Sus scrofa: one gene and its partners. The protein of the gene in region 1 interacts with the protein of each later gene in a biochemical or structural test. Links are inferred from orthologs where the notes say so. Each region holds a gene or a part of one and is shown on either strand. Other genes may lie near its edges.

Region 1 (3,500 bases):
AAATAAGACCAGTTTGGAGACAATTGGAATAGTCCAAGTGAGAAATGTAAATGACTTGATCTAAGAAATGTTAGTAGAGAGAGAAAGAAGTGGACAGATCTGGGGTGTATTTTAGAGGAAGATTTAATAGAACTTTCTTTTGCATTGGCCTTGAAGATTGAGAAAAGGAAAGAAATTAAAAATAGCTCCTAGAGTGACTTAATAAACTGGATGTAATGTGGAGCCATTTTTTGAAATGGGAAAAATGGAGGGAAAATCAAGAATTCCATTTTGGCCTTCTCAAATCTGAAGTCTAGTAAGTAAGTGAATATTTTCACCCGGAATTCAAGGGAGATTAACTTCTACCCAAGTCAAGTCAGTCTACAGTATTGGTAGCGAATTGAGGAGAATTGCAAGTGTGACGGGAGACTAGATCCTGATCCTTAGACGGTCGTGATGGTGATTCCCCTTTCCTGCTGCACTAGGTAATGGATTGCCTGTGGTAGAAACGTCTGTAGTAAGGCGCACGTCTACTTCCTGCTCAGAATTACTTCTGTTACTAAAAAAAAAAATTTAGAAAGTAGATCTGGAGTTTCCCTCTAAAATAAATATAGCACAGAGCAGTAGAAAGTCAGAAGTTGAGAGAGAGTACTTCCTAATATCTCTGCCTTGATTTATGCCTGACATATTTAGTATACAGGTGTAAATCTGCTTTAATAATGCTATCTGAAATATTAGTCATGTAATTCTATACTAGGTAATTTAGGAAGGCATATGTGTGTGTAACTTAAGTCTTCTATATGTGGACCATAGTTATAAATGAAACATTTTTAAACAAAGAATCAGAGAAATTGATATTTTGATATCAATGGCTTATTATTTTAATTAGGAGTCATTTTACATCTATACACTATACACTATAATTATTAAAATCGAACATATAAACACATACAGCTGTGGTTTTCAATAAGGTAGGAATTCCCACTAGAAGCCATTTATTAAAATAAAATTAGAAATGATGACAAGCTTAGTTTTCCTATTAAGCTCCTTTTTCCAACTTATATTTAAGTAGGAATTTGGTGTAGAATAACAGATTAAATAGACAAGATGTGTTTGGATGCATGTCTACAGCCGTGTGTGTGTGTGTGTGTGTGTGTGTGTGTGTGTGTGTGTGTGTGTGTGTGTGTGTGTGAGAGAGAGAGAGAGACAGAAAGTGATGGAGATTCTTAGCAAACTTCAAATGAAGACTTTTCCTTTGAATATATCCAGGTATCTTTCTCCTTTAAGATCCCCCAAGAAAAAAGGGTCAACTACACGTGTAAATTCTACTGCAAATTCAGAGGCACAAGCAACCTCAACCTTCCAGACTCAGAAGCCACTGAAATCTACCTCCCTTTCACTCTTTTACAAAAAAGGTCAGTAGATGTTAACTTGAAGAGTATGGACTCTGAAACCAGGCTGACTAGATTCAAATCTTGGCACTTCTGCTTAGTAAGCATGACTTTGGAAAAGTCACTGAATGTCTTTGTGCCACAGTTTCCTCTTCCATAAGATGGAAATAATAATAATGTACCCTATGAGTTTTGAGGTAATTAAATGAATTAATACATAAAATACTTCCAACAGTGCCTTGCACATAGTAAGCACTCAGAAAGTGTTAGATGTTGTTATTGTTGCTATTGCTGCTATACTTTCAAGTTTATGTTTGGAAATATTTGCTGTTATCATGACTTTTGCTGTTCAGGTGTGTGAGTTGAGATTATACAGTGTGCTGTGGCCTGGTGCATTGCATTTCTGGGTGGCCCAGTGGCATGGCATTCTCAGTTTGCGTGTGGGTTGCGACGGGGCGGGGAGGTGATTTGGTGTCTGTTGGATGTGTATATACATGCAAGTGCATGCCCGCTTGGAGCTCTTTGAAGGAAGGTGAAAGGTCAGATTCCTCTGTGATAAACCTTTTTTTTTTCTGATTTTATTCAAGTCAGCAATATACTGAGCTTCATAGGCAAGATAGAGCAGTGTTTCCAAAGTGTTGTCCCCAACCAGCTGAATCCACCTCACCTGGTAAATTGTAGGAAGGATTTTTTTTTGGAGCCCCACCTTAGAATTACTCAATCAGAAACTCTAAGAAGAGGGAAAAGAATCCTTTTTGAATATTGATAGAATTTTCAACATTTTTTGTGATGAGGGATTACCAGTGGAACTGAAACAAACCCTCTTTGGGTCTGATTTCACAATATCTTAGGATCTTTCTTCTTCCACCTATGCCTCAGTTTTATGCTGTAATAATTTGCCTTCTATGTATATAGCATGGCACTAAGACTAGAAACCATTTATTCATAAGGGAAATAGTGGTAGAGATGAATTTAATGTTAAAATGCTGTTTAACAGCATTTTGATTATAGCAATTTCATGTTTTGAAAAAGTCCACTTGTGATAAGTCGAGAATAGATATGATTGATTCTCCTTATTTCTCCAGTGTACCGACTAGCATATCTTCGACTCAATACCCTGTGTGCACGCCTTCTGTCTGATCACCCAGAACTAGAGCATATCATCTGGACCCTTTTCCAGCACACACTGCAAAATGAGTGTGAACTCATGAGAGACAGGCATTTGGACCAGGTGAGAAAATTATGCACATCTTCTCTTCTCCCCCTTACTTGTTAGCTCTGTAACTGATTTCTTTTCCTTTTTTTTTTTTTTTTGGTCTTTTTTTGTCTTTTTGCCATTTCTTGGGCCGCTCCTGCGGCACATGGAGGTTCCCAGGTTAGGGGTCGAATCAGAGCTGTAGCCACCAGCCTATGCCACAGCCACAGCAACGTGGGATCCGAGCCGAGTCTTCGACCTACACCACAGCTCACGGCAATGCCGGATCCTTAACCCACTGAGCAAGGCCAGGGATTGAACCCCCAACCTCACGGTTCCTAGTCGGATTCGTTAACCACTGCGCCATGATGGGAACTCCTGCATGTGAATTTTAGGATCAGCTTGTCAATTTCTGCAAAGAAGCCAGCTGGAATTTTGATAGGGATTGCTTTTAATCCTAGATCAATTTAGTAGTACTGTTGTCTTAACATTGTCTTATAGTTCATGAACATGTAATGTCTTTCCATTCACTTAGATCTTGAATTTCTTTCAACAATGATTTATAGTTTTCAGAGTACAAGTCTTGCACTTTTTAAAAAAGGATTTTATTCCCTGTTAACTCTGTTGTAGACTTGTTTCCTCAGTTCTCTGTAAGATTTTTCATTACAAGTGTATAGAAATACAATTGATTTCTGTCTGTTGATCTTGTATCCTGCAACCTTGCTGAAGCCGTTTATCAGTTCTAATAGTTTTTTAGTGGATTCCTTAAGATTTTCAGTATATCAAATCCTATCATCTATGAATTGAGGTCATTTTACTGCTTCCTTTTAAATCTAGATGCCCTTTTATTTCATTTATTTGCCAAATTTTTCTGGCTAGACTCTCCAATACAGTGGTGAATAGAAGTGATGAGAGAGAGGATTTACTTATTTTGT
Region 2 (4,105 bases), on another chromosome or scaffold:
GTAGGGAGACATACAGGGTCCAGAAAGAACTAAGCCTAGTAAGCTATGGTAAATAGTTGGATTCTATACTGAAGACAAGGGGAATTTAATGAAATATTTTAAGCAGGGATATTAGAGTCAGATTAGTCCTTCCCAGACCACAGCCACCTTTAGGGATGATAGCTTAAGGTTTATATAGAACTTCAGAGTCTGCACTACACTTTCACATTTATTTTTATCTCAATTATCCCTCACATGAAGGAACTGAATGCAAAGAAAGGTTATGTGATTTGCCTAAAGTCACTTAACTAAATATGGCAAAACCAGGTCTTTTTACTAACACGATACAGGTAAAACACCAAGTTAGAAGTTCCCTACTGAGAGCTTTCAGTCCCCTAACCTAGCCACACTCTTAGGAGACGACAACTCCGCAAACGCTTGAAAACACGGTTGTGTTTAGAATTAATACACCAATAAAATTCCCACAAAGTAAGCGTGAATAGGCACACGTAGAAAAAGTTCAAAAGACTAAATGTGGAAGCCCAGATTTCCGATTCAGACCGGGTGGCTTTTCCCTTCAGCATCCGCGGGACAAGCACAGAAGAGACAAACAGGGCTAAAAGGGAACGTGCCGGAAGTACCGTAGGGGACAAAGTGGAAGGCGAGGCCAGAAGCCCCAGGTAATGAGAGAAGTGAGACACCTACTCACACTCGTACTTCCGATTGACTGGAGGATACTTGGCCTTGATCGCCTTCTGCTCCTCAGTCAAATTGTAATCTCTAAAATCTTCCCCTTCCAGCGCCATGATTGTGCTTTTGGACCCAAACTCAGCTTCCGCCCTTCTTCAGCTGGACTTCGGCCCTGACTTATAACTTCCGCTCTAGACTCCGCCCCTTGGCACACCCTTAAAGGACCAGGGCTCCATTCCCTGGGAGGTACTTAATCCTTCTAGACTTCCGTTCTGTGTCCCAGGGTTTGGAGCACATCATTAAAAGTCGAAGGACCCACTTTCTGCTCTTGCTTAATAGTTCTTCCTACGACTAAGGAAACAAATAATTTGGAGGACGTGGAATAAGGGACACGAATTAGACACCTTTCGATCTGAATGATAGAGGCCTTTTCTTGCCGCCTAGCCCCACAATAGATAACTAGACCCGGAAGCATCCTACATTTTCCCATCTAAAGTACTACTTTGAAGGGGTCGCTAGCTTAACACCCTTCACGAAAATGGCTGCCCCCAAAAGCGTGCGGACTAAACCTCTCACGTGACCCCGGGCGGGTGCACTTCTACTACTCCCGCGCGCGCGAGCGCGCGCGCGTGATCGGAGGAAGTCGGCTTGGGGCCGTGTGGGGGCAGGGGCAGAGCGCGCGCCTGGGCCTGGAGGCAAGCTGCTCCGCGCGTCTGGATAGGCTGCGATCGCGGCTTCCCCGCCCACACCGACGTTCGGCGCACTCCGATTGGCCGATGTTGGCGCGAAGGTGCGCGAGTCGGCCCTCACGCAGGGGCAGCAGGAAACAATAGAGGCCGCGCGCGCAGAAGGAGCGCTCGCAGCCTCCCCGCCCCTCTCGCAACGCTCTGCCCCAGGATCCCCCCGGCTTGCCTGTACGCCATGGCGGACAAGGAAGGTGAGGGTGCCGGGGCCGCCCCAGGAGGGCGGGAGGAGTCAGGCTTGCGCCGCGGCCTCAACGCGGCCTAACGGTGGGGGCAGGCCAGACTCTGCCTAGGGCCGTCCCCGCCATCGCAGGCGTGAGGAAAAATCGCCCCGCGGGGCGGGCTCATGGCGCGCCAGCCCCTCTGGAGCGGAGGCCCGGCGCAGCGGTGTGAGGCTGGCCGTGGTGGCCTCGGGGGGGGTGTTTGGTCCCTCCCGCGCTCCCCGTCGGTCTACCTGCCTCTCTCCGGGTCCTCCCGGCCGCTCTCCCTACCCGCAGGGGTCGGTGCTCGGTCTCACCGTCGGTTCTGTGCGCTCGACGGCGGGCGCCGTCGCCCGAAGGGCTAACGGAGTGTCTGGTCGGGATTACCCGAGCAGTTCCCGCCCGGCGAAGCTGGAGAGCGGTGGTGGTGCCTGCGCCTCCGGGAGATCTAGACTAATCTCCATTTCAGAATCAGGATTCAGGAGCCGTGACGGTAGCTTTGGAAGTGTTTACTCGGTTTCCGTTTGTGGTCGCTAACTTAATTTGTTCTTAATTTTTTAGCAGCCTTTGATGACGCAGTAGAAGAACGTGTGATCAACGAAGAGTACAAAATATGGAAAAAGAACACCCCTTTTCTTTACGATTTGGTGATGACCCATGCTCTGGAGTGGCCCAGCCTAACTGCACAGTGGCTTCCAGATGTAACCAGGTGATAGGAATCTCTCGAATGCTGTTTTGTTGTGTCCTCAGTGTAGATTTCTCACATTGATTTTCCCTGTTTTCCTCTCTCCAGTCACCCGTAGAGGACACGTGATCAAAGCCTATTGGTGACATTTTTTTCCTAGGCCAGAAAGTAAGGCAAAATGTAAAATTATTTTGCAGTTTAGCATATAAGAGAGAACATACTGATGTTTTCTTTTTATTTACTTGTTTTTATTGAGGTACTGATTTACAATGTTGTGTAAATTTCTGCTGTACGGCAAAGTGATTCAGTTATGTTTTTAAAGTACAGCTGATTTTCCATGCTTCTTCGGTTTCTGTTGTATAGCAAAGTGACCCAATCACAGTTTCCTGTGTACACTTTTTTTTGGATATATATTCTTTTCCATTATGGTTTTCCTAGGACACTGAATATAATTTTCTTTGTTATACAGTAGGATCTTGTTTATTACCACTTTCGTGTAGACTAGCTTATTACATCTGCTAACCCCCACCTCCTGCTCCCTCTCCCAACCCCCTTGGCAACCACAAATTTATTTCCTATATCTGAGTCTGTTTCTGTTTTGTAGATAGGTTTGTCATATTTTAGACTCTCCAATATAAATGATATTTGTCTTTCTCTTTCTGATTTCACTTAGTATGATCATCTAATTGCATCCAGGTTGCTGCAAATGGCATTATTTCTTCCTTTTTACGGCTGAGTAGTATTCCATTGTATATATGTACCACATCTTTATTCATCTGTCAGATTGTTCCCATGTCTTGGCTATTGTGAATAATGCTGCTGTGAACATAGCGGTACATGTATCATTTTGAATTATAGTTTTGTCTGGATATATACTGGGGAGTAGGATTGCTGGGTCATATGGTAACTCTATCCTTAGTTTTCTGAGGCATTTACATACTGTTTTCCATAATAGCTGCACCAGTTTGCTTTCCCACCAGCAGTGTGGGAGATGTTTCCTTTTCCTAACACTGAATTGAATAGTGGGATTATAGCTGTAGTTGACCAAATGGTAATGTAAAACTTGTCAGCTTTCAGAAACTATCAGGATGAGTTCAGTTTTTAACATCAAAATGTTTGAATCTCGGCAGTCAGTGGTATTTTCTAGTTAGTTAATGCAAAGGTAAATGTGACATGGTACCTGCTTTCAAGTCTAGTGAATAGGCAGGTATAATTATGAAAGTGGCAAAGATAAAATGATCAGAGAAAGGAAAATTATCTCAACTTGGAATATCAGGAAAGGCTTTCAGTGGGAAGTGACAGTGTGAAAAGGAAGGTGACTTTAAGTAGTATAAAGCTTTAACAAACTGAGCGTGCCTGGGGGAATAATGGATTTTTTATTACAAAACTGTTGGTGTTCAGAGTAACAGCTGAAAGTTATATGTATGCTAAATAACTAGGTTCCTTCAGAACTCAGGTCTTTTGAGTCAAGATATTTGTAAAATGTGGTTGTTGGCCTATGTTTCAGCTCAACAAGTAATAGAAATTTTATAGAAATTTCATTGCCAACTTAATGAGCATGCTACTTTCGTAGTAGCTTTTTAAAAATGGGGAAATCTGGAGTTCCCGTTGTGGCTCAGCAGTAACGAACCCAACCAGTATCCATGAGGATGTGGATTCAGTCCCTGCCCCTGGCAGTGGATTAAAGGATCCAGTGTTGCCGTGAGCTGTGGTGTAGGTCGCAAATGTGGCTCAGATTCAGAGCGTGGCTGTGGCTGGCAGCTGTAGCTCTGATTCAGCCCCTAGCCTGGGAACTTGATGTGCTACAG
Region 3 (4,082 bases), on another chromosome or scaffold:
AGCCGCTCCAGCCGGGCAGGGGAGTGGCCAGGGCCACTGGATCAGCAGGATGGCTCTAGCGGCTCCAGCCCGCAGCCATGCGTCATCTCCCCTTCCTGGGGGTGGCGCGGAAGGAGCCGCGCGGGAGTGGAACAGGTCCTGATCCATGCCCCGATGTGACCTAGGAGCCACCGCTGCCGGGGGTGAAGGACGCCGCGCGGCTGAGGGACCGTCTGGGGCAGGGACGGAAACACTCTGCAGAAGGCTCAGCCGACAGCGGGCAGTGGCCAGGGAGCAGTCCTCTCACAAGAAAGAGCTGGGAGCTCCCAGCTCAGGGCTGGTGTCCTGGGAGCCATGTGAGCAGAAAGGCGGGCCCCACAGCGCCAGCCCCCAGGGTGGGTCTGAGAGGGGCCCTGCGAGGTGGGCAGGAGCGGGGTGGGGGCTCAGCTTGAGGCGCCACCAATGCTCCACCTGCTGACAGTCCACTCCGGGTTAGAGATGCGGGCGCTGAGGACTCTGCCGGTCTCATTTACCTGTCCACCCCGACAGAGCCTGAGCTCCCGAAGTCAAAACGGAGTTCAGCACCTCCCCAGGATGCCCTCTAGCGGCGGCCGTGGAGCAGGTGCCCCACTGACCCTACCGTTGGGGCTGCCCAGTAAACAGGTCACAGGGGACCCTTACAGAGCCGAGTAGGGTCCAGAGGTTCACACATTTGTTCACTGAATAAACAAGAAACCAGCTGTAGGAGTTCCTGCTGTGCTGCAATGGGATGGCAGTGTCTCTGCAGCCCCAGGACGCAGGTTCCATCCCAGGCCCGGCACAGTGGGTTAAAGGATCCAGCATTGACGCAGCTGCAGGGTAGGTTGCAATTCAGATCTGGTCCTGGCCCTGGAACTCCATCTGTCTCTGGGCGGGGGATCCGACTACAGCAGCTCGGGTCGCTGCAGACCCGCAGGTTCAATCCCTGGCCCATATGCTGCGGGGTGGCCAAAGATGAAAGGAAAGAAAGAAAGAAAAGTCCCTTGGTCCTTAAAACATGAATAAGAGCTAAGGTTGTAGTGGGTGGAACGAGACGGTTATGGTGTCATTAATTCTAATGAATAGAATCTGGTTGTATCCTGAGAAAAACCCAAGAGAAGAATGTGGCAAAGTGGGGAAGCTAACCAGAGCCAAGGCTGATGCAGGCTGTCGGAAGTAAAGGGGGCAGTCCATCCCCTGACACCGCCAACAGCCACGCAAAATACCTCTCTGGCAGAGGGAGCCGGCTGGCCCCCACACCTGCTCTCTCCTTTTCCACAGGGACGGAGCTCCTGGTCTGGGGCTGGACACAGGCCCCCGAAGAGAGACACCCTCCCTGCCCACCCCCGCCAGCGTCCAGCAGAGGCCAGGGGCATGCGGCTGGGCTGTGAAGGAACCCCTGTGTGTGGACAGCAGTGCCCCGGGGGGTGTCCTCTCTGGGAGACCCATCAGCTGCTCCCCAACAGGCGGAGGCATCCAAAATGGTCGGTGAGGAGACTCACGTGTGATTGGGTCAAGCTGACCGGCTGCAGGGGCCCAGATCAAGCACTGCTTCTGGGTGTGTGTGAGGGTGTTTCTGGGGGAGCCCAGCACCTGAATGGGTGACTCAGTGAGGCAGGTGCCCCCGCCCCAGGCAGGTGGGCCTCGCCCATCGCTGAGGGTCTGACTAGTACAGAGGCGAGGAACGAGAGACCTTCCTGCTGTCCCACCTTCAGACTTTGGATGAATCGCACCCATGGGAGCCTCAGCCTCCGGGAGGATAAGAGCCGACTCCTCCCAATAAACCCCCTTTCTGTGCATGTCCCACTTGCGCTGTGTCTCTGGAACGCTGACCAGCGCAAGGAGCTTGAACACCTGATGCTGAAGTTAGGCTGGCAGACGACACCAGCTGTCATAGCAGAGAAACCCTTTCTCGTCTCCTCACTCGTGACACGGGATGGCTATGGTGCCACCCTGTCGTGGGGTTGGTCATTGGGTTGCCCATGGCCCTGGAGGCAAACGGACAGAGCTGCTGCCCAGAAGGGCCCCGGGAGAAGTGGGCAGCGTTCTTATGGTCATTGCCAGACCAGGCCTTGGAAGAAGGGGAGTCTTGGTAACCAGTATTTGAGGTCTCAAGAGATGGCAGTGACAGTTGTCACTGCAGGAGCTCAAGAGGGGTCGGAAACGCAGAGCAGGCGTGGGAGCTGCTCCAAGAAAACCAGGGGGAGCTGCCCTCGCAAGAGACACCAACCCCAGCCCCAGGTGGACGACACCATCACGATACAGCATCCAATAGGCAGAGCCACCCTGCACTTTCTGAGCACAGAGACACCGGAGGGGGTCGCTGGCTGACGGCCCTGCGGTGTTCGTGTGCCCGGAGATGGCCGCTGTCTCCAAAACCAACACCAACGCCATCGGCGAAGTCAAGGCAAACGGGAGAACGTCTGTGATGTGTGTCGCGGGCCAGAGTTGCCCACCAGTGCCACCGCAAGGGGGTAGGACCCTTGCAGAGACGGGGAAAGGCCTTCCAAAGGACCTGGGGAGCGTGGCGGATGGGCCGGCAGCCGCGGGAATAGGCTTCTCACATAGGGAGATACCCGTTTCGCCCGCAGATTTCCAGCATCCAGCACCGGGATGCCTGCGTTGGTGCTGGTGGGAAGTGCGTGCCCGAGACTGCAGGGGCTGCTGCAGACCCTCTCTGGAGATGCACGGCACTGCGCAGCAGCGACACTTTACAGGAGGTTTCCGAGGTCACCGAGGACCCCGGGGAGTAGGTCTGCCCCGCGCCAGCCAGCCGGGCCCCTGAGAGGGAAGCCTGGCCCCGCCTCCAGGGTCAGAGAGCCGGGTGAGGTCTGGTCGGCCACCTCACAGCCACCCCCGGAGCAGACAGCTGTGACAGATGGTAAGTTAAGAAACGGCTGCCGATAGACGGCCCAACACGATCCTGTTCGGTTAACGAAGCACGTGTAAGTGCATCATGTTTATGTAAGTTGTGTGGTTAAAATATGTACTTACGTGTGAGTGATTCTGCATGTAAAAGACCTATTTTCTTTTTGTCAGCAATGCGTGTGACATGTAGAAGTGCCCAGGCCAGGGATCGAACCCACACCAGAGCAGCAACTGAGCCACAGCAGTGACGATGCCAGATTCTGAACCCTGTGAGCCACCAGGGAACTCCTGAAAGGCTTATATTCAAAGCACAGGAAAAGGAGTTCCCTGGTGGCTCAGTGGGTTAAGGATCCAGTGTGGTCACTACTGTGGCTCTGGTTGCAGTGGCGGCACAGGTTCGATCCCTGGCCTGGGAACGTCCAGGTGCGGGGGGTGGGGAGGGACAAAAAAACCAAAAACACGTTTGGGGAAAATACTGAAAGGTTAGAAATGAATCCAAAGTGTTAAGAAATTATGTCTTTGGTGGAAACGCAGTTGATTTAGCTTTCCCTGCTCGCTTATCTTTATTTCATGTTTTCTCCGTGACGACTGTGTCAGTTGTGCAAGGAGAAGAAAGGACAGTGACAGCAGCAGCTTCTGTGGTCCAAGGGCTGGCAAAGTGGACGGCTGTGCAGCTCTCAGGACCTGGGGCAGGCGCCCAGAGCAGACGGTGCGAGATCCCTGTGCCGCTGGGCCCAGCCCGCCCTGGGTCCGGGTGATGCACAGACGCCCTCCTGTCTCGCACCTGGTTGGTCTGGGCCCTGAGACGAAGGGCCCCTTTGGAGGTACATTTTAATACTTTCCTGTGCTTCGCATGGTGGGAATTGTGTCCCAACAACGTGGTACAAGAGTTAAATGCTGGAAAAGAAAGGAAAACAGCAAGGCCCTGCTGCAGAGGCCAGCAGAGAACCTTCAGAGAGCTTCTACGGACGCACAAGGCGACACCGGCACCTTCGCATCTATGTTCCCCTCAGGGCCGTTCAGATGACTTTCTTCCTTTCTTTCTTTGCATTTTTAGGGCCGCACCTGCGCCATGTGGAGATTCCCAGGCTAGGTGTCAAATTGGAGCTGTAGCTACGGGCCTCCACCAGAGCCACAGCAACTCAGGATCCGAGCCACGTCTGCAACCTACACCACAGCTCACGGCAATGCCGGATCCGTTAACCCACTGAGCGAGG
Region 4 (4,062 bases), on another chromosome or scaffold:
TTCCTTGCACACACTCATTCCTATATCCATCTGTATATGATGTATATAATAGCGTGCGCGCGCGCGTGCACACACACACACACACACACACCATCTTAGTGCAGAAAAGAAACTTTTTTTTTGGCCCCACCTGTGGCATATGGAAGTTCCCGGCCAGGAACTGAATCCGAGCTGCAGATGTATCAACGTGGGATCGCTAACCCCCTGCGCCTGGTAGGGTTGAACCTGTGCCACCACAGAGACAACTAACTCAACGGATCTCACCCCGCTGCACCACAGCAGGAACTCTGGAAAAGAACCTTAAAGGTCAAGTATTCCTGTTTCCAGCTCATTAATAACCTCTCTGCCAGGAGGTATCTAGATTCTGCTTTAACACTCCCAGGGAGAAATGGAAGTTCTGAAGAGGTGAAGGCACACTACCTTGCCACGCTTCCTGTTGGATTACTGTATTTATCTGCCTTCCATCAGTCCTTTAATGCTAGTTTTGCCCTAAAACGGGTATTGTGTCCTCTCTATTTTATATGATCACGCTGCCGGCTATATCTTTACATATAGCCTTTTCACTACCTTAAAGGGCTAGTGCCTGAGACACCAAAAAAACTCATGTAGCAAAAACCGTACATTTACACAGGAAGTAAGCGTTCGGTAAAAATTTGTTGAATGAGTGAATGAAACAAAGACACAAATGAGAATATGTTTTCCGATGGCGGTGGTACATAAAGGCGACAGCACCTCCTCACGTCCCCAGGCCCCCCACTCTGCATATAGAGTGACAGACGCATAGTGACACTGGAGTTGGCGCTCCGGCTCGGCCTGCAATGGGGAATTGGGATCTGGGTGGCCCAGGTTGCCATGGCACCGTATTGGACTCCACCTTCTCTAGGCTCCCGCCCCCCCCTCGCCAGAGTTACGGCAGCCAGTCACGTGCCCTACAGCGTAACCACACCTCTGCTCCTCCAAGCAGTCAAGCGGTCACGTGTGATAGCAACAGATCACGTGGCTGCCATCGCCCCTCCGCCCCTTTCCCTTCCCCGCCCCCTTCCCGGTCAAATAGGCTCCAAGCTGCCTTTCTGCGCACGCGTACTCTGGTCACGTGTTCCGAACGTCCGGCACATTCGCCCCGCCCTGCCAGTTTCCGCGCGCCTCTTTGGCAGCTGGTCACATGGTGAGGGTGGGGGCAAAGGGGGCCGCTCTAGCCTGCGGCCTATGTCTATGGTCGGGCCCGTAGAGTCCAGCTGCCCCAGACAGAGCTCGAGTGCATGGCGCTGCAAGAACCGGCTCCGGGGCCCCGATAACGGGCCGCCCCCGCAGCTCCTGACACGGGGCGAGGTAAGTGTAGCCCCCTTCCAGGAATAGGGACCATTCTAGTCCTCCCCGGCTTCCTACGCGGGCTGGTCTGGAAGGGTCGCTCGAGGGCGGGAAGTGGTGCAGGGTGTAGTATGTTCCTTTGTGGTCATAGGGAGGTGTAATTTAAAGGACTAGGTGAAGGGTCTTCAATGCAGGGGGTGTGTCGTGTGGGATTTCCCTTGTACAGGGCTTGATAGTCCCAAAGAAGAAGGAATTTTTTAATTCTAGGGCCTCACGTGGCTGGAGGGCTTTTGGTTAATCATTGTGTTACCTAGGGGGGTCGGCCTTATGGAAATTTGGGGAAGGGACGGGATGCTGCTCTTGTTGTCTTTGGGATATGTTTTGTGCGAGACACTTTGTTGCCGCAGGCTCATAACTATTTGAACTCTGGAAGGGAATTTGGTGGCAGGAGTCTCTGTGATTGTAGGGTCTCATCTGGTCTGAGAATGGCTACCTCCCGGTATGAACCAGTGGCGGAGATTGGTGTTGGTGCCTATGGGACCGTGTACAAAGCACGGGATCCCCACAGTGGCCACTTTGTGGCCCTCAAGAGCGTAAGAGTCCCCAATGGAGGAGGTGCTGGAGGGGGCCTGCCCATCAGCACGGTTCGTGAAGTGGCCTTACTGCGCCGGCTGGAGGCTTTCGAGCATCCCAATGTTGTCCGGTGAGAAGAAGGTGGAGGGTTGGGAGTGGGTAGTAAAAAGGAATAGACAACCTGTAGGTGGGGAGTGGTGGTTGAAAGAAGTGGGGACCCTGAAGGAATAGGGGAAGCCATGTTAGGTCAAAGATGATTGATCACTGAGTGACCTTTTGTTCTGGCCAGGCTGATGGATGTCTGTGCCACTGCCCGAACTGATCGAGAGACCAAAGTGACCCTGGTGTTTGAGCATGTGGACCAAGATCTAAGGACATATCTGGACAAGGCACCCCCACCAGGCTTGCCGGTGGAGACCATCAAGGTGAGTAGGATGGACATATACTGAGAAGTAAACTGGGATCTTTGTAGTAGCATCTGTTGTGGCTTCCAGTATGATGCCTAGTTTCCAGTTTCTCTGTACCTCCCCCTTCTAAACCAGGATCTGATGCGTCAGTTTCTAAGAGGCCTAGATTTCCTTCATGCCAACTGCATCGTTCATCGAGACCTGAAGCCAGAGAACATTCTGGTTACAAGTGGTGGGACAGTCAAGCTGGCTGACTTTGGCCTGGCCAGAATCTACAGCTACCAGATGGCACTTACACCTGTGGTCAGTAGAAAGATGGTAGCCAAAATGGCTTCTGGTTAGTGGGAGGAGAATGCTTGCTCGTAGCAGTTGGGAAGTCACGTGTTTTTTACGTGCTTGACTTCAGTGAAGCAGTTGTGCTTCATGGTAAGGAGTAGGGACCTCATCGACCCTTCTTATTCCTATTAGGTGGTTACACTCTGGTACCGTGCTCCAGAAGTTCTTTTGCAGTCTACGTATGCAACACCTGTGGACATGTGGAGCGTTGGCTGTATCTTCGCAGAGATGTTTCGTCGAAAGTATGGGGCCCAAATAACCCATAATTTCCCAAATCTCTTATTCATAAACCACATCCATGTCATGGCCACTCTTCTACTTGAGTACTCCTGACCATCTGGTCTATAACCAGAAGCTCTGAAATATCCTGGAATTAGGAATTCCATAGCTCTTTATTCTACATACCCGATGTTCTGAGCTACTAAGCTGTAATCATTCTTCCACCATATGTTTGAAAATGACTGCTGTCTTATGTCTTTTCTCACCTCAGGCCTCTCTTCTGTGGAAACTCTGAAGCTGACCAGTTAGGCAAAATCTTTGAGTAAGTGATTGGGAAGGGAAAAGAGTTTTCCATTCTTAGTCGTCCTCTTTCTGCTGAGCCCTGGTTGGAAACTGGCTCTGCCCCTGGGGGTGGGGGCTAGAGACGGGCCCTCCTGACCAGAGTTCTCCTGTTTCCCATAGCCTGATTGGGCTGCCCCCAGAGGATGACTGGCCCCGAGATGTGTCTCTACCCCGAGGAGCCTTTTCCCCCAGAGGGCCCCGCCCAGTGCAGTCGGTGGTACCTGAGATGGAGGAGTCTGGAGCACAGCTGCTACTGGTACTGGGCTTGGGTATGGGCACAGGGTGAGATTGGGGTGAAAAAACAGCAGTATAAAAGGGACCCAAACACATTGTGATCACTGAGACTCATTAGTGGATGGGCTAGTTTTCTCTTGCTGCTTTGAATGGCAGTCCACAAAGAGAGATAGAAAAGAACCCATTCTAGATATTGTTAAGGGTGAGTAGAAGTCTATTTTGTTTTCTTCACAGTTTTCTGACCTTTGCCTCCCTTCTTAGGAGATGCTGACTTTTAACCCACACAAGCGAATCTCTGCCTTCCGAGCCCTGCAGCACTCTTATCTACATAAGGCAGAAGGTAACCCAGAGTGAGCAATGGAATGGTTGCAACAGAACCAAGAGAAGAGAAGCCAACACTTCCCTTCCTTTGAACACTTGAGAGTCCCTTGCCGAGAAGTCGATCTCTGCCTTCATCTCTGGGGTGTGGAGACGACTGCCTCTGTCTTTTTACAGAGAATATTTTGCTGCCTTAATGACATTCCCCTCCCTCCCCTCCTTTTGAGACTTACCCCCCCCCATTTCCTTACACCAAGGGGTATGTTCCTTGCTCTCCCCTTCCCTGTACCTTGATACTAGAATCCTTTTTTATACAGGAGAAACA

Evidence for each region. The genes of interacting proteins can lie anywhere in the genome.
Region 2: the proteins of RB1 (region 1) and RBBP4 form a complex in vitro, tested with the Homo sapiens proteins (2 studies listed by BioGRID). The link is inferred for Sus scrofa from reciprocal best matches to the Homo sapiens genes RB1 and RBBP4.
Region 3: the proteins of RB1 (region 1) and BRF1 form a complex in vitro, tested with the Homo sapiens proteins (2 studies listed by BioGRID). The link is inferred for Sus scrofa from reciprocal best matches to the Homo sapiens genes RB1 and BRF1.
Region 4: of the proteins of RB1 (region 1) and CDK4, one has a biochemical effect on the other in vitro, tested with the Homo sapiens proteins (40 studies listed by BioGRID, with this or other methods). The link is inferred for Sus scrofa from reciprocal best matches to the Homo sapiens genes RB1 and CDK4.

What each region holds. Positions count from the first base shown.
Region 1 is NC_010453.5:19,199,136-19,202,635, reverse strand, and holds part of RB1 (retinoblastoma-associated protein), read left to right. Parts: intron 1-1,248; coding exon of another isoform or gene 1,249-1,266; coding exon 1,267-1,394; intron 1,395-2,455; coding exon 2,456-2,601; intron 2,602-3,500. UniProt on the Homo sapiens protein: Tumor suppressor that is a key regulator of the G1/S transition of the cell cycle. The hypophosphorylated form binds transcription regulators of the E2F family, preventing transcription of E2F-responsive genes.
Region 2 is NC_010448.4:88,985,787-88,989,891, forward strand, and holds the start of RBBP4 (histone-binding protein RBBP4), read left to right. Parts: upstream 1-1,305; 5' UTR 1,306-1,590; coding exon 1,591-1,606; intron 1,607-2,173; coding exon 2,174-2,321; intron 2,322-4,105. Other genes in the region: ZBTB8OS (protein archease), read right to left, coding at 689-785. UniProt on the Homo sapiens protein: Core histone-binding subunit that may target chromatin assembly factors, chromatin remodeling factors and histone deacetylases to their histone substrates in a manner that is regulated by nucleosomal DNA.
Region 3 is NW_018084979.1:3,374,550-3,378,631, reverse strand, and holds the start of BRF1 (transcription factor IIIB 90 kDa subunit), read left to right. Parts: upstream 1-1,282; 5' UTR 1,283-2,610; coding exon 2,611-2,878; intron 2,879-4,043; exon of another isoform or gene 4,044-4,082.
Region 4 is NC_010447.5:23,039,160-23,043,221, reverse strand, and holds CDK4 (cyclin-dependent kinase 4), read left to right. Parts: upstream 1-1,262; 5' UTR 1,263-1,329; intron 1,330-1,774; 5' UTR 1,775-1,793; coding exon 1,794-2,011; intron 2,012-2,170; coding exon 2,171-2,306; intron 2,307-2,423; coding exon 2,424-2,591; intron 2,592-2,756; coding exon 2,757-2,866; intron 2,867-3,114; coding exon 3,115-3,165; intron 3,166-3,305; coding exon 3,306-3,441; intron 3,442-3,680; coding exon 3,681-3,773; 3' UTR 3,774-4,016; downstream 4,017-4,062.